4 linked regions of the Saccharomyces cerevisiae S288C genome follow. The main gene of each other region encodes a partner of the protein of the gene in region 3 in a complex. Each region holds a gene or a part of one and is shown on either strand. Other genes may lie near its edges. The genes, in order: GPI19, GPI2, GPI1 and ERI1.

The links.
Region 1: GPI1 (region 3) and GPI19 share a complex: the UniProt entries of both Saccharomyces cerevisiae proteins name them as parts of the phosphatidylinositol N-acetylglucosaminyltransferase (GPI-GlcNAc transferase) complex.
Region 2: GPI1 (region 3) and GPI2 share a complex: the UniProt entries of both Saccharomyces cerevisiae proteins name them as parts of the phosphatidylinositol N-acetylglucosaminyltransferase (GPI-GlcNAc transferase) complex.
Region 4: GPI1 (region 3) and ERI1 share a complex: the UniProt entries of both Saccharomyces cerevisiae proteins name them as parts of the phosphatidylinositol N-acetylglucosaminyltransferase (GPI-GlcNAc transferase) complex.

Annotation. Positions count from the first base shown.
Region 1 is NC_001136.10:1,334,864-1,338,851, reverse strand, and holds GPI19 (phosphatidylinositol N-acetylglucosaminyltransferase GPI19), read right to left. Parts: upstream 1,501-3,988; coding exon 1,078-1,500; downstream 1-1,077. Other genes in the region: THI74 (Thi74p), read right to left, coding at 1-578; PPZ2 (salt homeostasis regulator), read right to left, coding at 1,899-3,988. UniProt on the Saccharomyces cerevisiae protein: Part of the complex catalyzing the transfer of N-acetylglucosamine from UDP-N-acetylglucosamine to phosphatidylinositol, the first step of GPI biosynthesis. Involved in cell wall biosynthesis.
Region 2 is NC_001148.4:408,619-411,785, reverse strand, and holds GPI2 (phosphatidylinositol N-acetylglucosaminyltransferase), read right to left. Parts: upstream 1,344-3,167; coding exon 501-1,343; downstream 1-500. Other genes in the region: YPL077C (uncharacterized protein), read left to right, coding at 1,696-2,418; ATP4 (F1F0 ATP synthase subunit 4), read left to right, coding at 3,042-3,167. UniProt on the Saccharomyces cerevisiae protein: Part of the complex catalyzing the transfer of N-acetylglucosamine from UDP-N-acetylglucosamine to phosphatidylinositol, the first step of GPI biosynthesis.
Region 3 is NC_001139.9:921,627-926,863, forward strand, and holds GPI1 (phosphatidylinositol N-acetylglucosaminyltransferase), read right to left. Parts: upstream 2,837-5,237; coding exon 1,007-2,836; downstream 1-1,006. Other genes in the region: 40S ribosomal protein uS2 RPS0A, read left to right, coding at 1-162; mitochondrial 37S ribosomal protein mS33 RSM27, read left to right, coding at 549-881; calcium channel protein CCH1, read left to right, coding at 3,070-5,237. UniProt on the Saccharomyces cerevisiae protein: Part of the complex catalyzing the transfer of N-acetylglucosamine from UDP-N-acetylglucosamine to phosphatidylinositol, the first step of GPI biosynthesis.
Region 4 is NC_001148.4:365,526-368,888, forward strand, and holds ERI1 (Eri1p), read right to left. Parts: upstream 1,211-3,363; coding exon 1,004-1,210; downstream 1-1,003. Other genes in the region: tyrosine--tRNA ligase MSY1, read left to right, coding at 1-905; PNG1 (peptide-N4-(N-acetyl-beta-glucosaminyl)asparagine amidase), read left to right, coding at 1,402-2,493; EEB1 (medium-chain fatty acid ethyl ester synthase/esterase), read right to left, coding at 2,546-3,363. UniProt on the Saccharomyces cerevisiae protein: Probable component of the GPI-GlcNAc transferase (GPI-GnT) complex in the endoplasmic reticulum, a complex that catalyzes transfer of GlcNAc from UDP-GlcNAc to an acceptor phosphatidylinositol, the first step in the production of GPI-anchors for cell surface proteins.

The sequences.
Region 1 (3,988 bases), on a different chromosome or scaffold from region 3:
GAGGATTGCATCACAATTAAGATAATTCCAAACAAAGACACAAATAACCCCAGCAGTTTTTTTGTCGAAAAAGTTTCTATTCCTAGACTAGTGGCAAGAAATAAGGTAAAAAATGAGGATGTCGATGAAAGAATTGTTGACGAAGCCACTGTGGTATACGACAAAGCAGCGTTAGCCGCCAAATTTGCCACGAACCACAAGACGCAAAATAGCAGACTCAACCTCATTGTATCCTTCACTTTCGTGTCCGCTATCGAAGACAAATTTGAAGAAGTAGAAGGAGTTGAAGATAGTAAAGGTAGGAACTCTGAAAAAGATTCTTGTGTGTGAATAGGTAATGTTCGTTCTGTCCGTTCCTGCAAGCTCTTCCTTCTTGATTGGATTATCCTCCATAGATCTGGCGTCAAATAAAGAGCAAACGATGATATGTTTAGATAAGTAAGGAAGAAAGGTTTATTGTACGCGTTTGTCTCGAGCAATTCATTAGTCAAACACGAAGCGCCAACCCAAAACACCACCACTACGGCCAGAAGCAGGACCCCTATCATATGATCTACGTCTATACCAACACGATTCATTCTCCTGCTTACTTTTTATTTTTTGCCTCTACCATCACTCTTATACATATCTAATTCTTCCTTGATCTCCTGCATTATTATATATATTCTTTTGAATATTCATTTCAACTTTCATCTATATGCCGCAGTTACCGAAAAATGTGTATGGGGGGGCCTACAGAATACGAGAATAGCCACAAAACGGTAAGCATTACAGCCTCACCATATAATAGTACTGTTAAGTGCATACATTCCAGTAGCCCCATATTATGACTTTATGCAGGACCGATGAAGATGTAGAAGATGGATCACCATGTGAAGGCCTTTCCACGTGACTTGAATTGTGTTGCACGTGACTAAACATTGTCAATTAACAGCAATAATAGAGTAACTATTAGAGCACAATTGCCAATCACGTTGGCGTAGTGTTCCCGTAGCCAGTTTGTATCTTATCTTGCGTATGCATTTACTGGGGCGATGTGATTGTGATGTTATGTCTCTGGACAGGTGCTGAGAAAAGCTATGTGCTGGTATGGTCGTTATCATATAGGTAGAGAAGTTGGCAGGCATCCATCAGAGACAGATCGTAAATACCACTTGTTTCTTTAAAGGCCCATTTCTTAACGAATACGTCCGGGTCGTCCTCTATTACAAGTTGACCACCGGCATCCGTTACTGTAGATAGAGAATCTAGCGGCGGTGTTAATGTATCTTCATTGTACATCAGAAGGCCGATGTATGTGCATAGCATGCCCATCAGCATTATGCTCTCCAAGGTAATAATCCATCTTCTTTGTGGGAAGATGTCCAATAGCGTGTTGATAAACTGCTTTGGTGCAGCCTCACCCAGCGATGATGGTAAGATGGACCATATTATGGTGAGCACCAAAGTGCTTGTTATTATCATATATTGTGAAAACCAGTAGTACTCTTTTGTATACATATTGTTTATTTATATCTTTTAGTATTAGACAGGAACAAACAGCTCAGATTCTTTTTTTGGCAAATCTGCTCTCCTCTTGTGATTGTTTCAACTTTCTTTCAGCACATAAATTTTAAAAGTTTACTGGGCCCAAGCAGGAACTTTATTAAGACAATAGGGAATAGTGAAAAAGCCGGCAAAGTGAAAATACAAAAAGCGAGCAATAAAACTCGTACTCTCAAAAAACCCAGAGGAAAGGAAATGAGAAATTGAATAATATTAATATTTACTTATTTAGATTCTCGTAAGATATAAGTGAAACTATAACGACAACTTTATCGGCGAAAAAAAGAAGGAAGAGGAACAACCAAAGAAAGTTTTCAATGAGCTTATTAACTGCAACATTAATATCTAGTTTTTCAGCGATTGGCTAATTTACGTTCTTGCCTGCCTTTTTTCATCACTTGTTTCAAAGCGGTACTGTCCAGTGGGTCCAACAACTCAAAAGAACAGAGTAGGCCTTCACTAACGGTCATGACAGCACCCCAGTTATCGAATTCACCACAATAGTTGGGAGCCGAAAACACTGTAACTAAGCTTCTGTCATTAAAGAATTCATAACCATCTTCCACCACCATATGTGCTCTACACACTAAATCGAATCCGAATTTGTTTAAAAATTTATTAATAGCCACTTTATTGTAACAAAAACTAACTCCACGCTCATTATCCTCCCATTCATTCGATGAATCTGTAGGATCCGACCATAAAAGGTCATTAATTAAGCCGAAGTCGGGTACATCGGTGGGCCTACTAACGTGCCTAATTTCGTCCATGGAATTTAGAACAGGTGATAGTCCACCATGAACACAAAATATTTTTCCTGTGACGATGGCTGCTAACGGTAGCGTGTTGAACGTGTCAACAAAGGTTTTCCAAATCTTGATATTACAACGTCGTTTACATTCATCATAAAACCCGTAGACTCTTGTAACATTGGCACATTCATGATTGCCTCTTAAGAGGAAGAAATTTTCAGGATATTTAATCTTATAGCATAGTAATAGTAAAATGGTCTCCAGGGACTGCTTACCGCGATCTACGTAATCGCCTAAAAATAAGTAATTTGCCATGGGGGGGAAACCGCATTTGGTAAAAAGTCTCAAAAGATCTGCATATTGGCCGTGAACATCACCCACTATTTTTACCGAGGGAGATAATTCTAAGAGAGCAGGTTGGGCAAGGAATAATTCACGAGCCTTATGGCAAATTTGAATAATCTCGGAATTCTTTAAGCAAACATTCTTGGTCCTCTTTGCGGCATAGCCGGCATCTAGTAATCTCTGGATAATTTCATCTATGTCCACTGGACGAACTGGTTTTTTCCTTTTCATTTCGACCATAGTATTAGTCCTAGATCCATTATCACCGTCTGCACAACTCCCGTGTACGAAATCACCTGTGGGAGATGGTGGGGAAACATATATTCTTTGACTGGAACTGGAAGACGATGAAGACCGTTGTCCTTTGCCCCGCGGACTAAGTGAAGATGATGAATCTCTGTGAGCTAGTGTTGGATATGCACTTAAATATTCTCTTTTTGACGCTGACGACGCTGACGGCGAAGGCTTGTCTATGTTTAGATTAGGGATAGGTGAGGTGCCTCTACCGTTGACGTTGTCTCCGCTATCGTCGTTGTCCCTCGAGCTCATTTTTCTTAACGCAGGTGAATGCAGTGGTGTGCTATAAGCTGTATTCCCAGTGGAGCCAAATGACGACTTCCTGGATGATGCATGCGAGTTTGATCTGTTTGAGAAATAGTCGCTGCCATTCCCTCCTGCTTCTGCATTTAAAGGATAACTTGCTGGCAGAGTATTGTCTGATCTTCTGCGTAATTTCGATGAAGTCGAGGAAAATCCTGTTACACCTTTTTCCGGTTGTAATGAATTATGACGTCTTAAAGGAGTACGCTTGGAGCCTCTATCTGCGGAAGAACTAGTGTTGATGCGAGTAACTTTGGCCATTGAGGGGCTCTCGCCGCCATCATCCCCCCTATCGTCGTCATCATCAGTCAACGCATTTTCGTAAGAGTTGAAAGAGCTAGTGGAATGCATGCTTGTACTATTTTTCAAGATGGGTGATTTGGGCTCCATCTGGATCATTGACGGGGGCAATTCTGAATTGTTATTATTCCCCATGCTCGACCTTCTCGAAGAGGAAGAGAGTCTTCTTGACGAACTGGGATGTGAGGTTAGGTAGTGGTTATTAGGAGGAGTGATTGGGGCGTTGTTTGATCGCCTATGGTTGCGATTGCCGTTTCCCAGAGTGGACGATCTGCGGGAGAGGGGTTGCGTTTGAGCTTGAACATTAGATGCCAACGACGCCTCTGAGCGTTTCGACCGCAGCGACCTCAGCGACCTTGACGATTTCAGCGAATGTGTAGTATCCGATTTTGTCAGTGGTGGGAGATCTAGTGTCTTTTTCCTGTCACCGTCGTGGTCATCCTTCT
Region 2 (3,167 bases), on a different chromosome or scaffold from region 3:
AGGTTTCTCATCCGGGTGATATTATCACATAACCAAGTGCCAAAAAGAAGAAAACAGGAAGCTGCTGCTACCAAGAAACAAGTGACTTTAAATTAGGAGCGGTAGACGCTGAAACGCCTGTTTAACACGGCCGCAAATTGTACCCTATTGGCCAGGTAGTATTGTCTTGTGTTCAGTTTAAGGGGGCGTTTCTCTAATATTGGGACCCGGTTAAGGTGCAAGGGCCCATCAATGCATTCAAAAATCTCCTGAATGTTCAATTTTAAAGTTGTCGTATGATATGTGAATAATCTGTAGTGAAGCAAACTTAATCGACCGAACTGCCCTTTGGTAATTGCCCGACGCCTTTGCTTGTCAGGTTTCATGATAATTATTATTACAGTGACTCTATATATAATGAAATACCGTGGGGTCGAGGAAGAGGACAGGCAATAAGCCCCTGCGGGCAGAAGTCGTACCCCTCCCTTGCTTATCCGAAGGAAATCATGTTCTTGATTGCGCTAATCCAATATTGGTGTTCTTGCATCCCATGTACTTAGTAGATCGTTATCCCGTTTATGATAATTGATTTTCCAGTAGATGAACCACTTAGGTAAAACAGTAATATAAAATACTGAAGCAAAGAAAATCAACAGCATATAAATCCAACCTAGAGCAACATTCAAAAATGAGTATACAATAATATTTGAAATTATTGGTACTACCTTATTCGTCACCGATAAATAAGTGGGTAGAATGATATTCAACTGAATACAAATTAAAAGAAAACAGAATACGTCGATTGTGGTCGAAAGCCTCGATGATAGGACAGCAACAAGGGCGACAAGTATATTGGTGGAAAGGTTAGAGGGTTTATCTTTGGACTTTGTTGACGAAATAACGAAAATGTACCATAGGGTCAGCCAAAAAGACAATGTCCATATGGAATCAGATGCAGTTGTTTTAGAAAGAGATTTGAGGACTGGAGAGAGAGTCAACATTGCAAATGTGATAATCAGCGAAGACTTTACGTCCATGAATGAGGACAATAGAGGGTCGACTTTCGTCCTTGATATAATCAATGTTATAAATGAAAGGAAAATAGTTGGCGGAATAGGATCGAAGCCATAATAGTAAATATATGTAAAAGTGATGTAAATGAAAGAAGTGTTCAATATGGTTTGGTAGAAACTTATAAAATCCAACCTAATTTGAGCGCGAGCAGCTTCTGATAATTTTCTATCAGACTTCTGGTTACTCTCAGCCTTTTGTCTTGCTCTCAACTCAATAAAACTTGGATCTGTATAATTATCTGGGTACTCCTGTTTCAACCATAGTAGGCGCTTCCAGGGAGATCTTGTCATTGTACCTATTGAAAATAACCAAATATAAACTATGAAGTCTCTTTAAGGTCATACGAAAATTGAGAGGATAATGGACCTGCAACAGAAAGTTTGGATGCCTCTGATTATATTCACCACCGTCTAACAACAATACTTAAAGTGTGATTGTACCTTTAAATTGGTTTAAAGCGAAGAGGTAATGGAAAGTTGAAATTTTCATTTTTAGTTCATAAATTTAGTAGCCGCGAAGTGGTCTCAAGTTCGGATATCAAGATAATCAATAGCCACGGACACCTACTACCTGGCCTTCGCTGACATGTAATTGACATTGTTTTTGAAAAACCTAACCAAAAATTTACAATTCACTATCTTCATGAAAGATCTCCAGAAAAAAAGCTCAGTACGAAGGCAAATCACGAATGAAGACGATGAACGGTATGGGGAGGACAGCATCCATGACCTTCCCAGGACAATACCAAATGTAAATCCCTATATTAGAAATTCAGGATTTAGGCCATCTTATTCTTCCCAAATTCCTTCGACAAGGAGTCTATTCAATAACTATTATAACCGTTCAAGTGCTAACACAGTTGGTAATGACACAATAGATACCGATAGTGTTAGCTATAACGGAGTTGCCAAATTCCGGAGAAATAGCGTAGATATACCGCTACAGACACATAACAGACTGGAAGTACGGCCTATAATCGACAGACAAGACTATTTGTGGAGAGAAATAGATGCCCTAGATGACGTTAAAAGACAGGCGCAGGCAACAGAATTGTATGATCAGTTTCCTCCAGGGTTCGAGAACAAACTGATGCAATTAAGGCAAGCACATAGTAAACTACTTCAAGTCTTGAGGGACCGCAATGCTAAAATAGAAGAGGAACAACGTCGTGAAGTGGCGGTCGCAACCGCTGCTGCCATGATGACTAGAACGCCATCACCAACAGGAAAATCCGTCGGAGATGAAGCTACAAGCAACAACATGCATAGTAGCAGCGCAATTAGAAATCCAAATGGACCAACCGTTGATCCTGAAGAAGGAAAGTACATTCAAGAGCTGGTGAACACTATAAGGGAATTACAATAGTAGGGCCAAAACACAACTGATAGTAACAATCACCAAGAGATTCTACATTAAAAGTGTAAGAATTCCCACATAGGAGTGCTCTAATTATGTCATATATGCTTAATTTTCAAAATAAAATAGCCATAAACTGTGTTGTGACGCAACTGCAACTCCCAGATGAAATACGGTCCGGTAAAGATAGGAATATTCTACTCTACAAGCATGAATATTTTTTAACGCGGCGCAGTACTATACAGCATAACAGGTCTTCCACGCATGAGAAACTGTCCATGGCTAAATTAGTTCCTCACACAGAATTAGAAATGTGCTGTGACAATGGCACATACGTAGATAAAAGATAAATATAATTCAGAATGGCTGTGGCGACAACTATTATCATAGAGGTGTCCCATCGAGCGAGCCTCATTGGCCGGGTAATCGACATCAATATTGAACCAATCACGACGCTTTTTCTCTTCACCGCTCATTCGGACCTTCACCACAGGTTTGGGTAATTAAAATAGCAAGGGATTATAATTGCAGTTAGCAGTTTATGTTGACAAGTTTATACTGTGCTAGGAAGGGTTATATTTTATTAAAAGACTGACGAGAATTCAGTACCTCCTAAGTGCGCAAGAGATAAAATGAGCATGAGTATGGGTGTCCGTGGCCTAGCGTTAAGGTCCGTTTCTAAAACATTATTTAGCCAAGGTGTTCGTTGTCCTTCGATGGTGATTGGAGCCCGTTATATGTCTTCCACTCCAGAAAAA
Region 3 (5,237 bases):
GATTTGTACTTCTACAGAGACCCTGAAGAAGTTGAACAACAAGTTGCTGAAGAAGCTACCACCGAAGAAGCTGGTGAAGAAGAAGCCAAGGAAGAGGTTACCGAAGAGCAAGCTGAAGCTACTGAATGGGCTGAAGAAAATGCTGACAACGTCGAGTGGTAAGTAAGGTGATATTTACAAATAGTATATTAATAATTATAGTATAATGTTTTATTAGAATAACAGATTTCTTTATCAATTTAGCGGCTAAATAAAAATCAAGAAAAAAGAAATACATTCATTGTGTCATCTTGTCACACATTTAGCCATGTACTTTATTTGCTGAGAAGTTTAATCAATTGAGAGTAGTTAGCTATTGTAGTAAAAATGTGCAAATGAAGTCTTATCAACACGTAGCGTATATAGTGATCTAAAACAGTTAGAAATATAATAAGCGAACTTCTAAACCATTTTAGAGCACATAGCCATGGAGAATAGGTACTTGTTTTGACCCGCTCGACGAAGTGGTACGTAGTGATTGCGTGGATTAGTTTATCATAAGACTTTCAATGAACGTACCAAAGGCGAGACTCCTAAAAGTAGCAGAGTTATCTGCGAAGATATTTGATCAAAATTTCAACCCATCAGGTATAAGAACCGGTTCTAAGATTCTAAATGAGCGATTAAAGGGCCCTTCTGTGGCAAGCTACTACGGCAATCCGGATATCCTGAAGTTCAGACATTTGAAAACATTATATCCTGATATTGAATTTGTAGACCTTGAGGAGCAATATCGATTATCTATGGTAGAAGCAAAGAAACGTCGTGGTAAAGGTGCTCCTAAGAAGATGAAGAAGGATGCAGCTGCAACTGCAAAGGGGAAGGGGAAGAAAAAAAAATGATTGGAGCACCCTTACTAAAAAAAATATTCATTATGTAGAAACTCATTTCATGTACATACAAAATCAAAAATAAAACAACAAATAGCTGAAGCAAGAAAACGCTACTTTACTTATAAAAGAAAACGTTATGCCTGAATAGTCAGCCTTTTGTATAAATCCTTTACACTCAATGGCTTACTAGGCAGTGAAGAATAAAGAACATAGTACAGCTTATTTCTATTGACCATTATAGACTCCCCTCGGACAATCTTTCGTACAGTAGCAAACGAGAAATAATTTGTCCTCATTTGCGACAACAATAGATTGTATGGTCTGAACATACTCTTGAATTTAATAGGATTGTTTTGAAGTTCTAAGGTTGTATGCTTGTTAGAAACCGTGGTTTTGAGCTCAATTGAAATGCCACCGGGTAGACGTTTAGGATCTTTTAACCTAAGTAATAATGCGAACAATGGAAAATGGTTAATGAGTGCAATGACAGCTTCCGAGAATATTTCGATAGTTATTGTTAGCATTCTCAAAACTGTGTATGACATATAGAATGCCATCACTGTGGGAGTCAAGAACACTAGAATAATAAATAATAATGTTCCCAATAGCAATTGATCTAGTTGAAAATAGTTATGGTCAATCCTATTTCGTAAAACGTTCCTCTTTTTACCGCAGAACAGGTTAAAAAGACTAGCCATAATATTCAACTGACAATGGTACAGTTTACTGCTGATACGATAAAAAACATATATTGGAAAACTTAAAATTGCAAAAAAATCAATCGCTAGGGAAACAGCAAAAGAAAAGCCAACGAGAAACATCATATATATCGTTAACGTGAGCAAAGATGATAGGGTTTTCGGATCAATGAGTCTTTTTATGAATGTGGTATAAGAAAATTCTATCACCCAAAGAAATAATTCGCTCAAAAAGTTCGCAAGTTCTGCATTTAATTTGATGCCAAGGGGGTTATTTGCTAACGTTTCAGTTATTGTTTTTAATGAATCATATAAAAAAAACTTCAATACTCTATGGGATGCCGACACCAAGAAATCTCGATTCTCAATAAGTATGGCCCCCAATATTAAACCAAATGAAATGTCATTAATAATAAGCCAAATTGTATTATACAATAAAATATAATCGGGATAGAATTTAGAAGGCATATATGAATGTGAGAATTGACTATTAGAATTATCTTTTTCCACCATAGAGCCAACATTCTGTATGTTATCCTTCTTATTAATACGCTCATACTGTACTGGGAAATAGCAAATTTGTTGACAACGAAGATCGATTTGCTGGACAAATGCCGAGTAATTTACCAACTGAAAGTGCGAATAATTTAATAACGAGGATACGAGACTAGCAATAGAGCAGATCACAAAAGTCAAATAAAAACCAATTTTTGCGACCATTTTATAAATACAAGTAGATGAACACCAAGCTGCGACACTATTAAGCATAGTACCCCTCAAATTTTCCTGTGATGTTTGAATAAACGGGTAAAGCTCATTTAATGCTTTACAATATGCGGGGAATAGATTAATGATGTTCAAAGTTTCACTCAATTTCTTATTATCTCTCTTGTATCTTGGATGTTGCTCTAATTTAGAATAGTTCAGAGTTTCACCCACACTACTATGAAGACCAACTTCTTTTTCTGGTATGATGAGCGAGATGGGATCAGAAGAATAGAATTGCATAAATTTCAGCTTGGGTATTCTAAAATGGACATTACAGGGATCAGCAACTTTGTAGTTCCAACCCTCCGCTCCATTGTTCTTAGTAGCTACCACTGAATAAGGGGGCCGTATGCTTACTTCTTCTAAATACTGAGGTTCGCAAACACCTAAGACAACAAAATGCGTCTTCTCAAATGAAATTGCCAAAGCTACCTGAGGTCCTTGAGCTGCGGAATTCTCGAACAAGGATTCGTATGGCCAGAAAATGTAATTTGGCATGTCATTTAACTGTATAAAACCGCCCCTGAATTCGAAGGTTCCTGTTCACAGAGGAATTTTCATTCTTTTTGGTATTATGTTCTGGTAGGTTTTTTTCATATTCTACATTTCGGCATTCTCACTGAAAATAAATATAGATGAGATAGAAGATCATGAATCAATGGTTGGTGACAAGCTAACATAAGGAAAATCAAAATACACGGCATTACTAAATAGAATATATTGTTAGTACTATGCAGGGGAGAAAAAGGACGCTTACGGAACCATTTGAGCCAAATACCAATCCATTTGGGGACAATGCAGCAGTAATGACGGAAAATGTTGAGGATAACAGCGAAACAGATGGTAACCGTCTAGAATCAAAACCACAAGCTTTGGTCCCACCAGCTTTAAATATCGTGCCACCAGAGAGCAGCATCCACAGTACTGAAGAAAAAAAAGGTGACGAGTACAATGGAAATGATAAAGATAGCTCCTTAATCTCCAACATATTTCGTACTCGTGTCGGAAGGAGTAGTCATGAAAACTTGAGCAGGCCTAAACTCTCACTTAAAACAGCATCATTTGGTGCCGCTGAATCTTCCCGGCGTAATGTTTCACCCTCTACAAAATCTGCCAAGTCTAGTTCGCAGTATATTGATTTAAATGATGAAAGGCTACGCAGGCGTAGCTTCAGTAGTTATAGCCGATCATCTAGTAGGCGTGTTTCTAATTCACCAAGCTCAACGGATAGGCCTCCACGGTCGGCAAAGGTTTTATCGCTAATTGCCGCTGATGATATGGATGATTTTGAAGATTTGCAAAAGGGATTTAAAAGTGCAATAGACGAAGAGGGCCTGACATGGCTACCCCAATTAAAATCAGAAAAAAGCCGTCCTGTATCAGACGTTGGAGAAGATAGAGGAGAAGGAGAACAAGAATCTATACCTGACGTTCATACACCCAATGTAGGAGCAAGCGCTACTCCAGGATCAATTCATCTAACACCCGAACCCGCGCAGAATGGTTCGGTATCTGAGGGTCTAGAAGGCTCTATTAATAATTCAAGAAAGAAACCCAGTCCAAAGTTTTTTCATCATTTATCACCGCAAAAAGAAGATAAAGACCAAACAGAAGTTATTGAGTATGCTGAAGACATTCTAGATTTTGAAACCCTTCAAAGAAAACTGGAATCAAGGCCCTTTGTGCTTTATGGACATTCTCTTGGGGTTTTCTCGCCTACGAATCCGCTAAGAATAAAAATTGCTCGTTTTTTGTTGCATAGGCGGTATTCGTTACTTTACAACACTTTGTTAACATTTTATGCCATTCTCCTGGCGATAAGGACATATAACCCTCACAATGTGGTTTTTTTATACCGTTTCTCTAACTGGACCGACTATTTCATTTTTATTTTATCAGCTTGCTTTACAGGCAATGATATTGCTAAAATAATTGCGTTTGGATTTTGGGACGATTCTGAAATGTTTAAAGCCTATGGACGTGAGTATAAATCAATCTTACAGAGATCTGGAATTATGAAACTATACATATATCTGAGAGAAAAGTATGGTAGAAAGCTAATAGATTTCATTATTCCATTTAGGATCATATCGCCGGGAGAAGAGACAAAATATCAACGAAGTTCGTTGAGTACTTCCCTGACGAAACCTTATGGGGCAAAGGAAAATCAGAGGCCTTTTGGCACCCCAAGAGCCTTTGCGAGATCATCGTGGAATAGAATAGATCTGGTATCTTCTGTCAGTTTTTGGCTAGGTATGTTTTTATCCATAAAAAGTTATGATACAAAAACAGGCATAAGAATATTCAAGCCCCTTGCTATATTAAGGATTCTTCGACTTGTAAACGTGGATACTGGTATGCCCTCAATTCTAAGGGGATTGAAATATGGTATCCCACAGTTGGTAAATGTTAGTTCAATGCTAGTTTACTTTTGGATTTTCTTTGGGATTTTGGGAGTACAGATTTTTCAGGGCTCTTTTCGAAGACAATGTGTATGGTTTAACCCTGAAGATCCTACCGATACTTACCAGTACGATATGCAATTCTGTGGTGGTTACCTAGATCCAGTAACAAAACGAAAACAAAATTATATCTATGAAGACGGATCAGAAGGTTCTGTTTCAAAAGGCTTTCTTTGCCCACAATATTCGAAATGTGTTTCCAATGCCAACCCCTACAACGGCAGAATTAGTTTTGATAATATTGTTAATTCCATGGAGCTCGTTTTTGTCATTATGAGTGCGAATACTTTTACTGACTTAATGTACTATACGATGGATTCGGATGAAATGGCTGCCTGTTTGTTTTTTATTGTTTGCATCTTTGTTTTAACTATCTGGCTGCTAAATCTACTCATTGCAGTGTTGGTATCATCTTTTGAAATAGCCAATGAGGAGTA
Region 4 (3,363 bases), on a different chromosome or scaffold from region 3:
TCAACTGGTGGAAAGACATCAAAATGTTGGATTTCTTAGCTGATTTTGGTAGGCACATTCGGGTACAATCTATGTTGGCGAGGGATTCAATTTCTTCGAGGCTTCAAACCAAAAATGGTCTGGGATTTAACGAATTTACTTACCAAGTTTTACAAGCGTACGATTTTTACCATTTGTATAAGGAAGAGAATGTGACTATACAAGTAGGTGGTAACGACCAATGGGGAAATATAACAGCCGGTATCGATCTCATCAATAGGATACAGCCTATAAAGAATAAGGGTTTGCCATTTGGTATCACTGTGCCCTTGTTGACGACGGCTACAGGAGAGAAATTTGGGAAAAGTGCAGGCAATGCTGTTTTTATTGACCCCTCAATCAATACGGCGTATGATGTTTACCAGTTCTTTTATAATACTTTGGATGCTGATGTACCCAAGTTCTTGAAGATCTTTACGTTTTTAAACTCAAGTGAAATCAAAAAAATTGTGGAAACGCATATCAAATCACCCAGTCTACGTTATGGCCAAACTTTATTGGCTAAAGAAGTCACAGATATGTTATATGGAGTTGGCTCCGGATCGGATTCAGAAGCGCTTTCTAATATTATTTTTGGACGTTATGACGGAACTTTATCTGCTGCGAAGTTAGTTGATCTATGTAAAAAAGCCAGAATTTTGCAGTATGCTGATAGAGAGATTGACTTAATAAAGTTAATTTGTAAACTAGTAAATTGTTCAGTATCAGAAGCCAGAAGAAAACTTTCCCAGGGAAGCGTGTATCTGCATCATTCAAAATCTAAAGTAAACGAAAATATTTCTAACTTGGCTCCTTTCCTGATAGATGATCGAGTACTGATCTTGAGGATAGGAAAGCAGAAGTGTTTTATAATAGAAATGCGTTAAAAAAAAGGGAGGTATATAAAGTACATGTATAAAATAGGCATGCGTGAGGTGATATTATATCATTTTATGCACTGACTTGTAAATAAGATTATAAACGATTATTCATCTTTACTACTTGCGAACATTTCACTGTCACACCAGGCTATGAGGGCCCACAGCCAGAGAGTCGCAGGGCATAGCAGTAATACACACCAGTAGTGCAGGAAAGAGTCATTGTTGCGTAACCAGTAAAATGTAGCAAGACTAATTAGGAGTACCGAGTAAGTAAACCCTAAAACCAAAAAGCCTTGGTCACGTGGTCTCATGCGCTTATAAATTCTCAATCATGTAATTGAAACAGTCCTGTTGCCTAGTTTCAACTGTTCTATGCTTCTTGATGTTTTCGAAACTTTGCGTAGTGTAATCTTCCTTGTATTGTAGCGAAGAAAAAAGGATGCGTTGGGAACAGATATAGAAGACGTAAAACAACCTGAAGAAGGTAACAGGTGGAGTAGCAATGGGAGAGGTATACGAAAAAAATAACATAGATTTTGATTCAATAGCCAAAATGTTGTTAATTAAGTATAAGGATTTCATACTGTCTAAATTCAAGAAAGCTGCACCTGTAGAGAATATAAGGTTTCAGAATTTAGTCCATACAAATCAATTCGCACAAGGAGTCCTAGGTCAGAGTCAACATCTCTGTACAGTCTATGACAATCCTTCATGGCATTCTATAGTCCTGGAGACATTGGATCTGGATCTAATATATAAAAATGTTGATAAGGAATTTGCCAAAGATGGGCATGCAGAGGGGGAAAATATATACACGGATTATCTAGTAAAGGAGCTGCTTCGCTACTTCAAACAAGATTTTTTCAAATGGTGCAATAAACCAGATTGTAATCATTGTGGCCAGAACACTTCAGAAAATATGACACCTCTGGGCAGTCAAGGGCCCAATGGAGAGGAATCTAAATTCAATTGCGGAACTGTTGAGATCTATAAATGCAACCGATGCGGAAATATCACTAGATTTCCTCGTTATAACGATCCAATTAAGTTGCTGGAAACTAGAAAGGGAAGATGCGGTGAATGGTGCAATTTATTTACTTTGATTTTGAAGTCGTTTGGGTTAGATGTTCGCTACGTCTGGAATAGAGAAGATCATGTTTGGTGTGAATATTTTTCAAATTTTTTGAATAGGTGGGTTCATGTCGACTCCTGTGAGCAATCATTCGACCAACCATATATCTATTCAATTAACTGGAACAAGAAAATGAGTTACTGTATTGCGTTCGGTAAAGATGGCGTTGTTGACGTTAGTAAACGCTATATCCTCCAAAACGAGCTGCCCAGAGATCAAATCAAGGAAGAAGATTTAAAATTCCTTTGTCAATTTATAACGAAGAGGTTGAGGTATTCGTTAAATGATGACGAGATATACCAACTTGCATGTCGCGATGAGCAGGAACAGATAGAGCTGATTAGAGGAAAGACACAAGAAACGAAATCCGAAAGCGTCAGTGCCGCTTCGAAATCATCTAATCGTGGTAGAGAAAGTGGATCGGCGGATTGGAAAGCACAGCGTGGGGAGGATGGTAAATAGAGAAATAAAAGAACAGATTATTATGTGTAAGGAATTTTATCTAAGAACATATTTATAAAACTAACTCATCAAAGCTGCCCAAGAACTCGGCAGCTTGCTTTGTTAACCAGGAATTACTTTCATTGTCGAGATAAGCCAAATGTCCACCCAAGTCAGTCTCGCATAACAACACACAAGGATTTTCTCTAGCTTGTTTGTACGGAATTACGTTTTCACCTGTAACTGGATCATCCGTTGCGTTGATTATTAAAGTTGGGATTTTGATATTAGGCAATCTATTTATCGAACTGGCCTTTCTATAATATGTTAACCCGTCCGGCAGGCCCATCGATGGGGCAGTGAAAAGATTATCGAATTCTAATATGTCTGTAAATTTTTCAGCCTTTTCCAAATTTTCTCTGGTATACGTATAAAAGACTGGTTTCTCAACTGTCGGTTTGTGCGAAACCTCAAAATTCTCTGGTACCTGCAACTCATTCATATTAACCTTGACAGTCCTTGTTAGAAATTGTGTTAAAGTTCTAGAAAAAATATGGTTGGACCACCAATCATGAGCCAACTTGTCCCAAGTGTGTACGAAATCCCATGGGTTTGAGAGAGCGACTGCAGCATTTAATGGACAGTTATCTCCTTCTTCACCTAAGTAGTTCGTTAGCATGGCTGCTCCAAATGATGTTCCGACTGCATATATTTTTCTTTGCGGAAATAGAGCTTTTTGGTGGTTCAAAAATTCTCTCACATCACCTGTGTGTAATGCGGTAAAGATTCTACGGGTGGTGACTTTAGATCTTGAGCAACCTCTAGCATTAAGGACTACCACTTGGAATTTACCGTCACCGACTTTTGATAGATCTTCAGATAATGCCCTGA